Stegostoma tigrinum: one gene and its partner. The protein of the gene in region 1 purifies or fractionates together with the protein of each later gene. This does not show direct contact. Links are inferred from orthologs where the notes say so. Each region holds a gene or a part of one and is shown in the gene's direction. Other genes may lie near its edges.

Region 1 (7,709 bases):
TTGTTCTGAGGATGTGTCTGTCACTGGTAAGGCCAGCACTGCTTATCATTTAATTAACCCCTAATTGTCCTTGAGCAGTTAGTGAGTTGTCTACAACTGAGTGGCTTGGTAGGGTGATTTCAGTGCCCAAAATGAAACCCAAGGTACCATACGTTGTGCTAGCTACTCTCTCATGATGTCGTCCTGACACCATCAAAGATTGGTGCACATGAACCTTGAAATCCCTGTGTCCCTGTACACTCTAGAGCTGAGCCATTAAGTACATCCAGCCTCTCCCTACCTCTCTGCCAAATGGCATCATCTCACACTTTATTCTTCTATTAATACTTCTGTATTATTCTTATTCTGTATTATTCTTATATTAATACTTCTGTGTTAAATTCTTACTGTCACTTGACTGTCCGTTCTGTAGCACTGAGAAAAAATTAGTTTGATTCAGATGCTGTTATAGTTAGTCTTGTAGCCATCACACATGTCTGTAATGTGAATGTGAGCTAAACTGTGCATGACACCCAAAGGAAAGATTTTTACAAAAGCAAGCATGTGACAAGTGAGCATTCCCTTGAATGCCTGAAAGTTCACTAACCTTGTACCAGAATCTATGCGTTACAAGAATCTGCAAGGCACAGTATGAGCTTGAGGTATGACTTATTTGGAGCTTAGAAAAGGACCAGAGGGGGAAAGTTCAGCACTTGATATGATCACAATACACAGAACTGTGGCTGTGTTCCAGGGAAAAAAAGTATCCAGAGTGGGTGCTGTGTGAGATTTTTACTTGACGGGCCTCATACAACATTAACTGATCCTGTGCGTCAGCCTGAGCTTTGATAACAGCCTGTTTGTCTTGGGAATGTTAGAATTTAGATGTCCTGGTTGGGGTATAGATGAAATGATGAGAAAAGTAAATGGAGCAGAGTAATTAATATTACTCCCACTTACAGCTTGAGACAATGACAAGCTAAGTTTATACAAAGAATGCTGTTCAGCCCAATGATTCTCATCTTTTAGATTACCAACCCTGCTTTCTTCCCAAAATAGTACCTAGTAATTCAGCATTCTGTGGTATTCTCCAAGGTTCCTCACAAAGGCTTCCTTTTTGTGAAGCCTAAACCTGGATTGTCCTGTTAATACTGTACAATGGCTTCACAAGATGTTGCAGTGAGCAAAATATCCCTGGAGGAATGGAAAGGAATGAAGAAAATTGGGGAATGGTGGTGGAGGGAGGAGGCTATAAAGGTTAATGAACGGTATTAAATATGAGCCAGCAGCTTCAGGTGAAGACAAAATTGGAGAGGCAGATACAGTTTTGGTAAAGTGTAATGGTAGGTTTTCCTTTAAGAAGTTGCTGAGGGACTTGACCTTCATTCAATCTTTTCTCATCTGTTAAATGGGATTAATGGCTTGTCTCAAATTGGATTAAGTGTTTGTGTTTTAAATGTTCTCACACTTCCCAGGTCGTGGTATCCCACAAAGAGCATAGGCAAACAACGTGCTCCAAGATCTGTTATTGGAGGTGAGCTACCAGATGATGAGCATCAGAAGCCTGAGACTGGGTGTACCCCTTTTCTTCATCCTATCTTGAAGCAGATGCTCCCTTCCACTTCCATTGACTTCTAACCTTTCCACAATGGTAGTGTTGCTTTGTCCAATACTGTGGCAGCTGTCACACATCTTGGCTGTTACTAAGCTGGCATGAACTGCTGTGTTTAGATGTTCTCTGCCCAAGATGTGGTCAATAAAGATTCTCCTCACTCTGGGTGAGCAAATTAATCACCAGATCAGAAAAATATTTCATCTATTTAGAGTAGTGGTTTTGCAGAGTGTTTTTCAAATAATAAACTTCTGCTTTGTCTACAAAAGGCAAGTCTGGGTTCCTGACAATCGATATTTGTAAATGTTAGCAATCTCTTTCAATGTCTGGTTGCTGGCACTGACTATTGATTCTGCTACATCAGGAGAGTGTTTGTTTTTTTTTAATCTCCTGACTGTGGCAGTTCCCACAGAAAATGCCACTTTACTGCTAAACTGGAAACTCTACAACAGAGGGATGTAGGGGGTGCTAGGAGTGGTGGGGTCAACAAAAGATTTTGTCAGTGCATCAAGTATTGTGAAATTATAAATCGGTTGTTTAAGATTTTGTGATACAAGATGCAAGGAGAAAATCCTACCACCCCTGCAAAGATTCTCAGGAATTTAATTTAAATTTGGGAGGGAGTAGTAGCCTTGATGACTGAATAGTCTTTGCTCATACATACATACTTATGTATATTGAAAAATCCTGGGCATAGAGTCATAGAGCCATACAGTGAGCCAACTTGTCCATGCTGACCAGATATCCTATACAGATCTAGTCCTATTTGCTAGCATTTGGCCCATATCCCTCTGAACCCTTCCTATTCATATACCCATCCAGATGCCTCTTTAAATGTTGTAATTGTACCAGCCTCCATCACTTCCTCTGGCAGCTCATTCCAAACACGCACCACCCCCTGTGTGGAAAAAGATGCCCCTTAGATCCATTTTAAATCTTTCCGCTCTCATCTTAAACCTATGTTCTCTAGTTTTGAACTCCCCAACCCAGGGAAAAGACCTTGAATATTCACCTTATCTGTGCCCCTCATGACTTTATAAACTTCTGTAAGGTCACCCCTCAGCCTCTGATGCTGCAGCCTCTCCTTGTAGCTCAAACCCTCCAACCCCAGCAACATCCTTGTAAATCTTTTTTTATTTGTCAGTGTTTCAGTAAGCAGAACTAAGAGCCCTAACCTCATTTTACAAGCCTTCAACAACCTTGTGCTCCTTGAATTTAACCTCTTCCAAAGCTCTAATTTTGAATCTCTCTAACAATGGCTACCTTCCCTTCAGCTCCAGTAATCTAGACTAGAACCTAAGCTTAAGACTTTCTTCTCAACAGTTCTGCTTTTCTTCTTCTATGATGGTCTGTAAAACCTACCTCTTTGAGCAAGCAATTCTGTCACCTATTCTAATATCTCCCTTTGTAGTCCAGTGTGAAAGGTTGTTTCCTAATCCTCCTGTGCTGAAGTGCCCTTGGATGTTTTGCAATGGTAAGGGCCCTTTGGAATGCAAGTTGCTGGTGTACAGCTTCTGTAGTGCTGTAGTGACAGTAAAAGTGATTCGTTGAGGGACGATGCAACAAAGGTGTGCTCAAATTGGCAAGTCACACATAAAAGAGCAAGAGTTTGAGAAAAGGCTTCCACACTGTGTTGCCAGTTTTATGAGCTGCTCTTGTCTCAAGTGAAATTTTGCGCAGGCTCATTCCGTAAAACTCTATTGCTTTGCTGTTCACAATTTCTCTAAAATGATCACTAGTTGCTCACAACTAGGAAAACAGATGTTTGAGATGTGCAAGGGGCTGGGGAAAAGTGCCCTGTCATAGAATCAAAGAAGGGCATTGCACAGAATGAGGCCAGTGGCAGCTCCTTTAAAGAGCTATCCAATTAGTCCCACACTCCTGATCCTTACCAGAAATCCTGCAATGGCATTCAGTTCCCCTGTTTGGCAGTTACTATTGAATCTGCTTCCACTTTCCTCTTTGGGGGAATGCATCCCTGAGCACAACTCAGTGTCTTTTAAAAAAAAAATCTAATGTGTCATCTCTTGTTTCTATCTGCGTCCCTTTGGTTACTGAACCCTCAACCACGCTTCCATGGTTTTGAATGCCTCAATTAAATTTCCCCTTAATCACCTCTGCTTTGAAGAGAACAATCCCAGCTTCTCAAATCTCCCCAAAATAACTGGAATCTATATCTCTGAGATAGTAGGAACTGCAGATGCTGGAGGATCTGAGAAAACAAAGTGTGGAGCTGGATGAACACAGCAGGCCAAGCAGCATCAGAGGAGCAGGAAAGCTAACGTTTCAGGCCGAGACCCTTCATCACTGGCACCTTTCTGTAAGTTTCCCCTGCACCCCCTCCAGGACGTTGGCATCCTTCCTACAGTGTGGGGCCCAAATCTTCGCTATGTTTGCAACAGCAGCAAAATCATGAGCATCTCTGAGGCTGCTACCTCTCGCATTTGTACAAAGTTAGATACTCAACAGGAAGCAGCAGAGAGTCGGCCAGGATTGGCTTTGCTACTTTCTCCACACGTTCTAGATCTGGGGATAGAGAATAATCTAGATCAATTAGATCTGGCTGTCATTCAGCGGTTTAAATAATTGCTTGCAGGGTACAGTCTCCTCTGACAGAAGAAACTGAAGGGGGGGGGGTGAGAATCCTCACTATTGAATTGAAATGCTCGCAGCATGCCATCATGCTTTGTTCTTTGCAAACCCCTTTTGATTGATGGCTGTTATGAAATTCATTCCCCAGTCAATGCAGCTGAAGGACTGCGTCTCTATGACCCAGGTAGCGAAGGTTTTGGGGTGGGGGGAGGGGTCGTAGGAAAGGTTTGACACCTGTGTGTTAAAAAGGTGAAACAGCAGCTTTCTACCCTGAAGATCCACATGCGGTTGCTCCACTGTGACCGGCGCTGCCGGTGAATTCAGGGGCGGTGCTACGTTTCCAGAATTAAACTTTTCGCTCCGTTTTCCGGAGGAGGGTGGGGGTTGTGGTGGTGGGAGGGAAGAGGGAAAAAGAAACATCTCCCTGGGAGTCAGAGTAGAACCAGCATCAGAGAGAGCGAGCTGCATGGGCTGTGCTCTAAGTCTCGATTGCTGCGGGAAGGAGCTCTGCGGGCCCCCAGATGAAGCTACGGGGAGGAAAGAAGAAAAAATGAGGCTCACGAAGGTATTTCATCCTCTCCTGCGCTCTGTGTGTGTTTTGAGGAGGATCGTTTGTAGAAAAGTGCGTAGACTTTGAGACAAGTCCTATACACATACATACCTATGTATACATTATATATACATATAATATATATTAGATACATCTAAGTCCTGTCAGGCTTGTCGATTGAAACCACTACCGCGGTAAACCAGGCGAGAGCGGGCAAAGGTCAAGTAACGTAATTGTTTTCTGGTAACGCATGGGTTGTTGTTTTATTTACGAGATTTTGTAACCTTGGGAAGCTTAAAAAAAAGGAAAGGGGAATGAAAGCGACAGGAATAAAGAGATGAGGCCAACTTTGTTGCTTTTGGAAGCTTGGAGGGAATATCAAAGGGGTGCAGCCCTCGTCAAAACATTTTTTTTCCTGGGGGTGTGGTTCGGGAGGGGGGTGGTTAGCCGACTCTTTAATACAGTGATGTCGATGTCAACATAATGCAGTCTGTGTCAAGTGTCTGGCAAAACTAACTCAAGGAAACTTTATACGAAGATCAGGAAAAGTTGCACTGCTTTGTGCTGTTTTCTTTTTCCGACGACATATGACTCGAACTCCTCGAGCTTATTGACTCGAAAAGTAACAGTTTGAGTGCAGGTCACTGCAGTCTGCAATCTGATTATGTAGAGAATGCTTTTCTGGCTGCAGTCACTCAGCTCCTCAAATCTTCCTGGAATACACTGCCTCCGATGTCAACGAAAGAGCCACATATTTCATCATAAGTTCAGTGCTCTGTTGTGTTAGGTGGCGGTGGACGCTGCACAACGTGACATCCTTCAAGGATTCCTGCTGTCATATCAGCAGCGCTGCTGCCTCGATGCACTCTGCACTGTCCCAGCTGGAATATGCTGGGCCAGCCACAAATTGAACCCTAAGACAGCACCTCTTTTAGCTGCGTCCCCACGGCTAGATCTGGTTTAAAAAAAATTCTGTGGCTTTCCCCCTTGCTACTGACAAGTCTCCTTTCCCATGGCAGAGAACGCTCAGGTTTCAATGCCATTTGTGAGTCGCGTGTGTGTGCATGTGAGGCCTCCCGCCTGCCTCCTGTGGCCACCACGAGTCACTGCTCTCACACCCTGGGGTCAAGTACAGGCCGGCTGCTGGCGCTCTTTCTCTGTTCATGGGCAGTTGCCTGTAAATCACCAACCAGAAGCAAAATGCTGCACATCTGACATGAAAGCAGGTCAGAGCATGTGTGGAGAGAGAAACAAGTCTGATGAGCTATGAAATGTCAATGTTGATGTAGGGTCATCAATTTGCACTCAAGGCAGGTGTGGCGGGGTACACTGATGATTGCACTAATGTTTGCAACTTCTCAGATACTGAAGCAGTCTATGTCGGAAGACCCGGCCAGTTTGGCTAATAAGTAACAAGAAACATTTACACCACACAAGTGGCAAGCGATCATCTCCAACCAGGGAAAATCATCCCTTAAAATTCCAGGGTACTACCGTTACCATTGCTGAATTGCCTACAATCAACAACCTGGGAGTTACCATTGACCCAAAATTGAATTGGGTCAGCAATACACATACTACAAGATTCGCTCAGAGGCTAGGAATACTGCAGCAACTAATTTACCTTCTGACTCCCAAAGCCTGTCCCACCATTGACAGGGCACAGGCCAGGAGTGTGATGGAATACTCCCCACTTTTGCCTGGATGGATGCAGCTCCAACAACACTGAAGAAGGTCCAGATCAAAGCAGCCCAGTTGATGAGCACCCTGTCCACCATTGTTCAGCGCGATCAGTGTGGACCACGTACAAGATGCACTGCAGCAAATCACCAAATCTCCTTTTACAGCACCTTCCAAACCCACAATTTCTACCATGTGGAAGAACAAGGTCAGCAGATCCATGAGAACACCATCATCTGCAAGCTCCCCTCCAACCAACTCACCATCCTGACTTGGAAATATATCACTGTACCTTCAATGTTATTGGGTCAAAATCCTGAGACTGTCTCCCTAACGGCACTGTGTACCTGGACAACATGGACTGCAGAGATTCAAAAAGGCAACACACCACCACCTCTTCAGGAATAATTTTATTTTAATAGTGGCTGATAAATCCACAGAACTGTCTTGTCAAAACACTGTGAGTTTGGTCCTTTTATAGTTTTATATTCAACACATTAGCTTTATAGGAATGTTGGCTTAAGTTCCTGAGGTCCACACTAATTGCTTCTTTTGGAATTTGTCATTCAAATACCATTCTTATGTGAGTCTAATGATTATCTAGTTCACAGGTCGGCACAACATCGAGGGCCGAAGGGCCTGTTCTGCGCTGTATTGTTCTATGTTCTATTATTGGTAAGCATGTAGAGCCATCACTCCAACTCAGGACAGACAATAAATGTTGGCTCAGCCAGTGACAACCACATCTCATGAAATAATTTTTGAAAAACATTAGCTCTGTTTCTCTCCTCTTTGACACTAGGATTCAGATACAAATCAGCAAACTGACCATAGGAGTCAGAGTGAGCCTTAGCAACTTGCTGAGTTTTTAATGATGAACTTTGCCATGCAGTGATTTTTGAAGTTCTGATTTTTCTCACATGTTCAAATGTTAACTGAGCAATAAAGTATTAGGTTGATACAAATGCAAACGATTGGCTGTTGACCTATATACTGAGAGTCTCCAATGGCTACAGAAGCACACTATATACTGCAAGAAAAATTTACATTCATATCGTGCCTTTCTTGAACACGTCCTGTGAGCTTTATTCCAATATTCTTATGTTTGGTTTGTGATGTGATTTTTGTATTAATGTCAAAAAGAAAGTCTTGCATTGATATAGTGTCTTGAACATACCAAAGTGTTTTATGGTTAATGGATTACTTTAAAAGTATGTTCACTGTTGTGACGTAAGAAACATGGCAGCCTGTCTACACACAGCAAGCTCCTACAGACAGCAATGAGCCAGCTTCCTT
Region 2 (7,849 bases), on another chromosome or scaffold:
GCTTGATGGCTGCATCAGAATCTGTCCAGTGATCTATGTGCAAAATCTGCATTGCACTTAGTTTCTTCAGTGCAGACACCATGAAGAATCACACTGGACTGAACATATTGAAAAGACAATTGAAATAGTGCATGCAAAATCCCAGAGACTCGTTGGAGACTTTGTTGTTCGGTCCATTCCTGATCTTTCTTTGTAACAGCAGAAGTGCCATACTTGCCTCTGCTCTCACAGGCAACCAGCAACAAGGATCTGCAGGCAAGTATTGGTACTGAGAATCTGTCAGGTGTGCTTCCCTTTCCCTTTTCCATATTCAGTATTTTACCATGTCTTTCACAGTGCATAACTTACAAGGTATTTACTGTCAATTTTATTTGTTTGTATAGCCATGTGAGTGCTGAAATTATCTGGCCTGAGCACTTCAATGTGTCTCAAATGAGACATAAGTGGTGGGTTCTTTTGGAATTTAACTTCAGTGTGCTGTGCGATTATAACGTGTTGATCATGGATGTCTTTGTAGTTACCATTTTGTTATTTGGGGTGAGGGGGACAGAAAATTTCATTAACCTTGTTAGAGAAATGAGATTGCACCCTAGTAATTTTTATTAACCTTGGTGAATAAGAAATGAAAATGACCTGCAGAGAGATGTTTAAGATTATTAGCACAGAAAGTCAGTCTTTTTTTTGAGCAGAGATATGAATGCAAAGCATTAGCCCTCCTATGTTTTGTTGCTGTGACTGCAGAATGCTGCTGATCTGTTTGAAGGAGTTGGTGCATATCGTCAGTACTGCATCAGTCTGCAGAATAGGCCAGCCTAACTGCCTATGGTAAAATTGTGCACCGGAGCAAGCTGTGATGCGATCAGCAGCTATCATTTTTGCTTTGACGTATTGTTGCTGTTCTGCTAATTAGCTCTCTGCTGTGTTCCTTTACTTTGAAGGCTGGTGCTGTATATATAGAGAGAAATTTCTTAATTGAAGCACGAATAATACCAATACTATGGCCTGATTTAGCATCTTTGTCTCAACCAATTTATGAAAGGCAGTTTTTTAAAAAATAACTGCCTAATATGTGACAGCATTAGCTGTTTTTCCCTAACAGTGAAAGTTACACATTTTAATAATTATGCTGTAATAGCCTAAAATAATTGCTACTGTTTGCAAATCAAATGTATTAGTTCCAATCTTTCATTCAGGGGTGAGAGTTGCAAAACTCTGCTGGATAGAGCTTTGGGGGGAAAAGACAGGCTAGTCTGGAATAATTTTGTTTATTCAGACTGAGATAATGTGCCGGGTACGAAAACTGTAAATCTTGGTCCTCTTTGGAAGTACAGAATCGCTAATGCTGTGCGTTTCTAGTTTAGTGACTCCTCCCCTTGAGTTCCTTGGGAGGAGATATAGCAGCAGCTGCTTATGTTTTTTTATATTGGTGTGAATCCAAAAGTTCTTATGTACTCCACATCAGTATACCTCAGGCTGGGTCCTTGAACAATATGGAGGAATTGAGGCCCTGTTAGAACTCTTGCTGTATTCGACTGCTGAAGAGCTTTGGTCATTTCTTTGTGTATTTAACACAGAGGCACCACGTGAGCTTGCTACCATGAGATTTGGAAACAATTACTCGAGCTTAAACTTGTAACTGGCCAACTTTTGTTCCAAATTGACTGGTGAATAGAACTATTTTACAAAATAGTAGAATTCATGTTACATTTTGTACTGAAACGCAATCCAACCAGTTGATATTGGGTCAGGCCATTGTGACCAGCCACTAGATATGTAAAAGTGCCTTATCTTGTACGTAATGAAAATTGTGATGGGTTAGACAATAAATGGCACTGCTGCCCCAAGGCACCAGGAACCTGGGTTCCGTTCCACCCTCGGGTGACTGTCTGTGCAGAGTTTGTATGTTCTCTGTGTCTGCATAGGTTTCCTCCCAGGTGCTCTAGTTTCCTCCAACAGTCCGAAGATGTTCAGGTGAGGTGAATTGGCCATGTTAAATTGCCCCATAGTGTTGAGGAGATAGCAAGAACTGCAGTTATTGGAATCAGAATCGATACATTGTGGAGCTGGAGGAGCAGAGCAGGTCAGGCAGCATCAGGGGAGTAGGAAAGTTGATATTTTGGGTCAAGACCCTTCTTCCGAACTGAATTGAACTTCAGAACAGTTCTGAAGAAGCCTCCCAACTCCAAACGTCCACTTTCCTATGCTGCTTGACCTACTGTGTTTCTCCAGCTCCACACGTTGACCCGTCGTGTTTCCCTATGTGCAGACTAGCTAGATTAGCCATGAGGAATTGCAGGATGATAGAGCAAAGGGTGGGGCTAGGTGGGATGCTTTTTAATGGTTGGTGTGGGCTCAGTGGACTGGCCTGCTTCTGCCTGACTGTGACTCTTATAAAGACTGCTGGGAATTATTGTTTGCTGTAGGATTATTTTGAAACCCATGTAATTGGCCTTTAATTTGTCAAACCAACTGGATTTAATGTATGCAAGAAAGACACTTCTTTTAAAATGAGGCAAAACACGTTATAGTTAATGTTTAAAGTATCTAAACTTTACAGGTATTTGTGCAACCCGATCATGTTTCAATATATTCAGATCTTTCTGGATAAAAGCTTGGGCTGGGTGACCATATCCTAGATTTTGCTTGGTGTCTACACCTTACTTGAGTATACATGGGGAAAGTTCATGTAGTCTATTATCTTGATTTAGGATGTTTTGCTTTGGAAGCATTGTTGATTACTTTTAATTGTGGATGTGTTGTGCCTGAATTGAGAATTGATTTGTGCCGTTTTAACTGGATGTGGACTGAAGTAGTGGTATCTGTTTGCAAAATGCAACTGTAAGTCAGTGCTTTTACAAATATAGAAAGATTGGACCCAGTTCTGGTCTTCACCAATTAGCTTTCTGGAATATTCACATCTAGTGGGGCTGTCTTTTCTAGGAACATGAGCTGAGTTTTTAAACAAAATATTTTCTTTTAGAGCTACAAGACAAATGTCATATTGCGTGCTGTCCATTTCCTAAAGACACTGCTATGGTTCCTTTAGCTACTTAAAAAGATGGTCCTTGCTTGTTTTTTTAGGTTTGTGAGGGAGGCCCACCATTTAGGTACCTACTGTGATGATGGGGACTGTATTTGGGCCAGTATTCTCTTCTACTTGGTAATTAATTAGGTGTGAAGCACTTTGAGAAACTCCAAGCACACACTGTGCTGCTACATCAATGTAAATTACACTAGGATTGGTTCCAGTAAGTTTAGATCAAGCTCCAGTCTTGACCTAGGGCTACTTCATTCTTAAAAGATGACTCCTGACTGAGTATCCAGGCAGTAAAGGCAAAGTTTAAATTGGCACCACTTTGCAAGTTAAATTTCCTATGTAGAATAACAAAGCTATTTCAAGATGCATGCAGGACATTCTGTAACTCGGAAAAATCATTATTTGTAATTATGGAGTGCCTTCTTACATTCAAACACCCGACGTGCTTCACACTGTGAATTTTAGTGACTAATTAGATCTAGCACAATGCCTTGTGGCACTATTTCCCAGAGCCGTAAATGATGCGGCTGGCCAGTTAATTTATTTGATAGTACGGTATTTGTCCAATGTCCAGTGATTATCTTGGGAAGGTTTAGAGTAGTTTTCCACTGAACCTCTACAAACAAGAATTTTTTTTCTTTGAAAAGATGAAAGGTTTTTTTTACTGTTACGGTACTCCTTTGCCTGTGCATTATTTCTCAATTTAGATCCTTTGACAGTATTTGTTCCCTCTTTTGTGGGTTTGATTTAAGAAAAGCTATTGCATATGCTTGGGTTTAACACTAAATAATTTAACCACATCTCTGTGTACAGTTAAAGACACACTGATTTGTTACTGCCTGCTAATGCAAAGTACATGGATGTAGTTATTTACTTGGATTGTGACTGTCATTGAGATTCTATTCATGAGCAAGTACTTATTGAAAACTGTACAAGCTCTTATTGCAGACAGATCTTCAATTTGAAGTCAGTGACATTAATCTGTTGCAATTGTAAACTCTACTATACTTCTGCCAACTCCTGGTATGGTGTTATATAATCAGCAGTATGTATTTTTCACGTGAATTCTTTAGTCCTGGAGTTCTATGATTCATGAATAACTTGTAGATCTCTTAATTGTGATTATCGTGAGGACTTCCTATTTTACCACACTGGTGCCTGGTGCATTTTTGACTGTTTTGCAGCTCGCTCAATGAAGTGGCACCACATTAAACATGGCAGAGGATGAAACAGAACCTAAGGTCTATTTAGAGGATGAAACAAGGCATAGATAGGGCCTAGTTATTTTACGTTGAATAGCGTACAACTGAAACTGTAGCGCATAACATCTAGATGGTGTGAACCTAACAACTGGTTTTAAGCGTAACGCTGGTGTTTGAGTTTAAATAAATATACAGCTATTTCTATTTTAGTCTTTTTTTTTGGAGTTTTTAATTTATTACTTGCCATGGTCTCCTGGCAACCATCATTATAGTGGCTTAGTGTCATTGCAAGAACCAATGAGTGAAAAGAATGAGCTGGTGTTACAGTGGAAGAGATCACCAACAGCTGTTTATTGTGACCTTTTTAAGCTAACTTATTCTCACTGCTTTGTGGTAAAAGTATTGAGGGTAACTAAAAGTTGCTTGTTTTTTTTAAGGAGAGTCTTAAAGGAGGAAAGAGTCTTGGGAGAGAATAGACGGCTGAATACATGCCTGCGCGTGGCCAGATAGTCAGGTAAAGCATATAAGAGATGCCAGAAAGGTTGGAGCTATGTAATGACAGAGTTCTTGAAGAGTGTAAGGGTGTGTTGGCTTTAGGAGGACTTTTTTAAAGTCAAGATTTTCAAGACATGAAATTGTTTTTCAATCAAATATGGCCTTTGAAATGCGAAAGGCCAAACCCAAAAAATGAATTTTTGCAGGGTTCTAGAGCTATTAACCAGATCAATATTCTGCTAAATTTTGTTATTTTCCATAACAATACTGACGTTCTTTTGAACTGTGGAGAGAATGCTTATAAGGACAGAATGGAAAGTGGAGTTGAGACTGAGATCAGATTAAAAAATCCTTGTGTCGTCGTCCTAGTTTTCAGAGATAGAAATGGCAGCATTTTTGTACCCTGAATAACTCTTGAATTGAGCATTGAGAGCGGTTAAGAGTGAACCTTATTGTTGTGGGCCTGTAGGCACGTGCTAAACGATTTTGTTCCCGAAGGCTACTAGTGAACCAGATTTTTGTGACAATTGGTAGTTTTGTGACATAATCACTGAGTAGAAATCTGCAATGTGTCTGTGATTATGAGCTTGTGTAGTTTTTTAGTTAGGAATGTGCAGGACTGCTACTTGCATTTTGCCCTCATGTATTTTCGGAAGAGCCTTTTGGTCCCTCTTTCAATTTGTAAACGAAGAAACCAACTGTGAAAAACTCAGAAGTCATTGTATCTGCGTGACAATATTGTATACATCAAAGTAGTTATTGTATTGAAATTTCAGCTACAGCTGCCTTCTTGTTTACCATACACACCTGTTAGATTGGAATTCTACAAGTAAATATTGTCATCCAGCAGAACTGTGGCTATCAAAACAACGTGAAAGTTCTTGTATATTTTGTGTTGTCTGATATGCAGTTTGCAAGTGTTTATTGTGCTTATGCTTAGAAACTCTGGATATGTTGCATTGGGATAACTGGTAGGAGCAAGAAAAATGAGAGAATATGGGCAAGAACAAAGTTGCTGAAAAAGCTCAGTAGATCTAGCAGCATCTGTGAAGAAAAAAACAGTTAACGTTTCAAATCCGGTGGCCTGCCCTTAGTACTGGAGGAGGGGTCACAGGATCTGAAATGTGACTTTTTTTTTTGGCTTCACATACTGCCAGACCTGCTAAGCTGTTCTAGCAATTTTTGTTTTTCTTCCTGATTCACAGCATCCACAGTTCTATCAGTTTTTATTGAGAGAATACGGATTTGGTCATTCTGCCCACCCTTTTTTAATGAGATGTCCCAGATTGCTGTATTTTTCAAATGGGAGCCTTTTAGTGTTCTGGGCTATGTGTGTGCTTTCTGATCTGTTTCGTCTTTGCAGCTGTGTAGTTTCTGTACCCTTGTAGAAAATTTTAGGTAAGGATATCCTAATTTCTTTTTGCCCTTGCATTGCCCATTAGTGATAGGCAGGTGGTGTGAAAAGATGATGTATTGAAAAGATCTGTTTTGGATTTTGTTTCATGCTGTTAGTGTGCAGAGACATTATACCACAATTTCTTGTTGCTTTCATGTTTAATTTGAGATGTTTCAAATAACGGACATTTTGTGACTGAAGGGTTAAACCTCAGACAGCATTATAGCATACACCAGATGGTGGCACTTCATCACTGTATTAATAAATTGTATTAATGACTTTTAAATACTTGATCTGTATTCATTTCGTTTAATACCTGAAAGTTGTGATAAATTGCTTTTATCTTCTGTATGATAGTACCGTCACTTTTTAGTTGGTTTAAAATGAGCTTACATTGAGGCTTTCTGTTACATTTTCTGGAACATAGTGCATCATTTAGGTAGATTCTGGTAGTTCTGTACAAACGTGTGCAGTATTTTTCTGAATGTAAAATCTGTCTGGCAAATGGCTGCACGACATTATTGCACCCTTTTCATTTTCGATGGTTACAAAGGTTCCTGCGGTGCATGGTGATCTTGATATTTTTTTTTGGAAATGGCATTTACTTCTCTTGTGCTGGTGCAGTGTAGAAATGCACTCCTTAGTGTTCTCTAAGCCTGACTACAGGAACAAAGTAGATTCAAGGCAGGAATTGTAGAGTGCTGAATTTCTCTCCTGCTCTCTGGTATCTTGCTGTGGGAGGAATAGAAATGTGGATGTTATGGGAGGAGGGGGACCTGGAGATTGTTCTGGGTGTTTTAAACAATGTCGGGTAGAAGCTAATTATATAACAGATTCTGGTGGAATGGTGACATGAATTTTCCAAGGCATTACTCTTTTATAATTCCAGTGAATAAAAGCAGGAACAGCAACACAGCAGAGTGAAATATAGAAGCTCAAACTGGGCTTAACCTGAATAAATGGAACTGAATCTCATGGATTATTTAATTTTTAATTTTAATATGTTGAACTTTAATGCCAGTAGTGTGGATTTGTTCCTTATCCCCTCATCCCACTTACCATCCTCACTTTGTTATCCATTGATTATCCTAATGTATTATAAAACCCAACTAACCAATTATTTAGTGTCGTTGATTATGTGCTATTACATTGGATGTAATATTTTGTAAGAAAATTAGTTGCCATTACCGAAAGGAGTTGTGAATAGTTGCTGGAGAATTGTTTCCCTCGCTCCCCCACTGGAAAGTGAGGAGTACATTCTGCATTCATCACATAGGGGAGACCATTCACCTTTATCAGGATTTCTTGCTGCTTTTGGCAATTCCTCACCAGCTGCAATTAATGAGAGATAATTTCCTGTATTTATCTTGATTTCATTTTAAATATTCATGCTTTCTTTAAACAAATGTTTACTCCTTCAAGCAAGTTATAAAATTAAAAGAAACATCAAAACTTATGTTTTGTTTGCTGCTTGGAAATAAGGACAATTTTTTAAATTTTGTAATTTGCATAATGTGAAATAAATTCCTATTTTTAACGGTACATCCTTCACTTCCGAAGACCATCGCAGTGACTTCTTTTTGCCCCTTGAACATTTTAGCAGTCAAAAGATGATTTGTTTGCAGCAGTGCCTTCCTCAAGAAAATGGTTCCAGATTTTAAGGTCTTTTTAGTTCCCAACTCCCTTTATCCGCAAGAAGAAAAAGTTGTATTTATAAAA

The links. The genes of interacting proteins can lie anywhere in the genome.
Region 2: the proteins of tensin-2-like (region 1) and csk purify together in Homo sapiens (affinity purification with mass spectrometry; 6 studies listed by BioGRID and IntAct, with this or other methods). This does not show direct contact. The link is inferred for Stegostoma tigrinum from reciprocal best matches to the Homo sapiens genes TNS2 and CSK.

What each region holds. Positions count from the first base shown.
Region 1 is NC_081404.1:11,585,962-11,593,670, forward strand, and holds the start of tensin-2-like, read left to right. Parts: upstream 1-4,624; 5' UTR 4,625-4,649; coding exon 4,650-4,748; intron 4,749-7,709. UniProt on the Homo sapiens protein: Tyrosine-protein phosphatase which regulates cell motility, proliferation and muscle-response to insulin. Phosphatase activity is mediated by binding to phosphatidylinositol-3,4,5-triphosphate (PtdIns(3,4,5)P3) via the SH2 domain.
Region 2 is NC_081389.1:17,788,059-17,795,907, forward strand, and holds the start of csk (tyrosine-protein kinase CSK), read left to right. Parts: upstream 1-4,712; 5' UTR 4,713-4,727; coding exon 4,728-4,753; intron 4,754-7,849. UniProt on the Homo sapiens protein: Non-receptor tyrosine-protein kinase that plays an important role in the regulation of cell growth, differentiation, migration and immune response.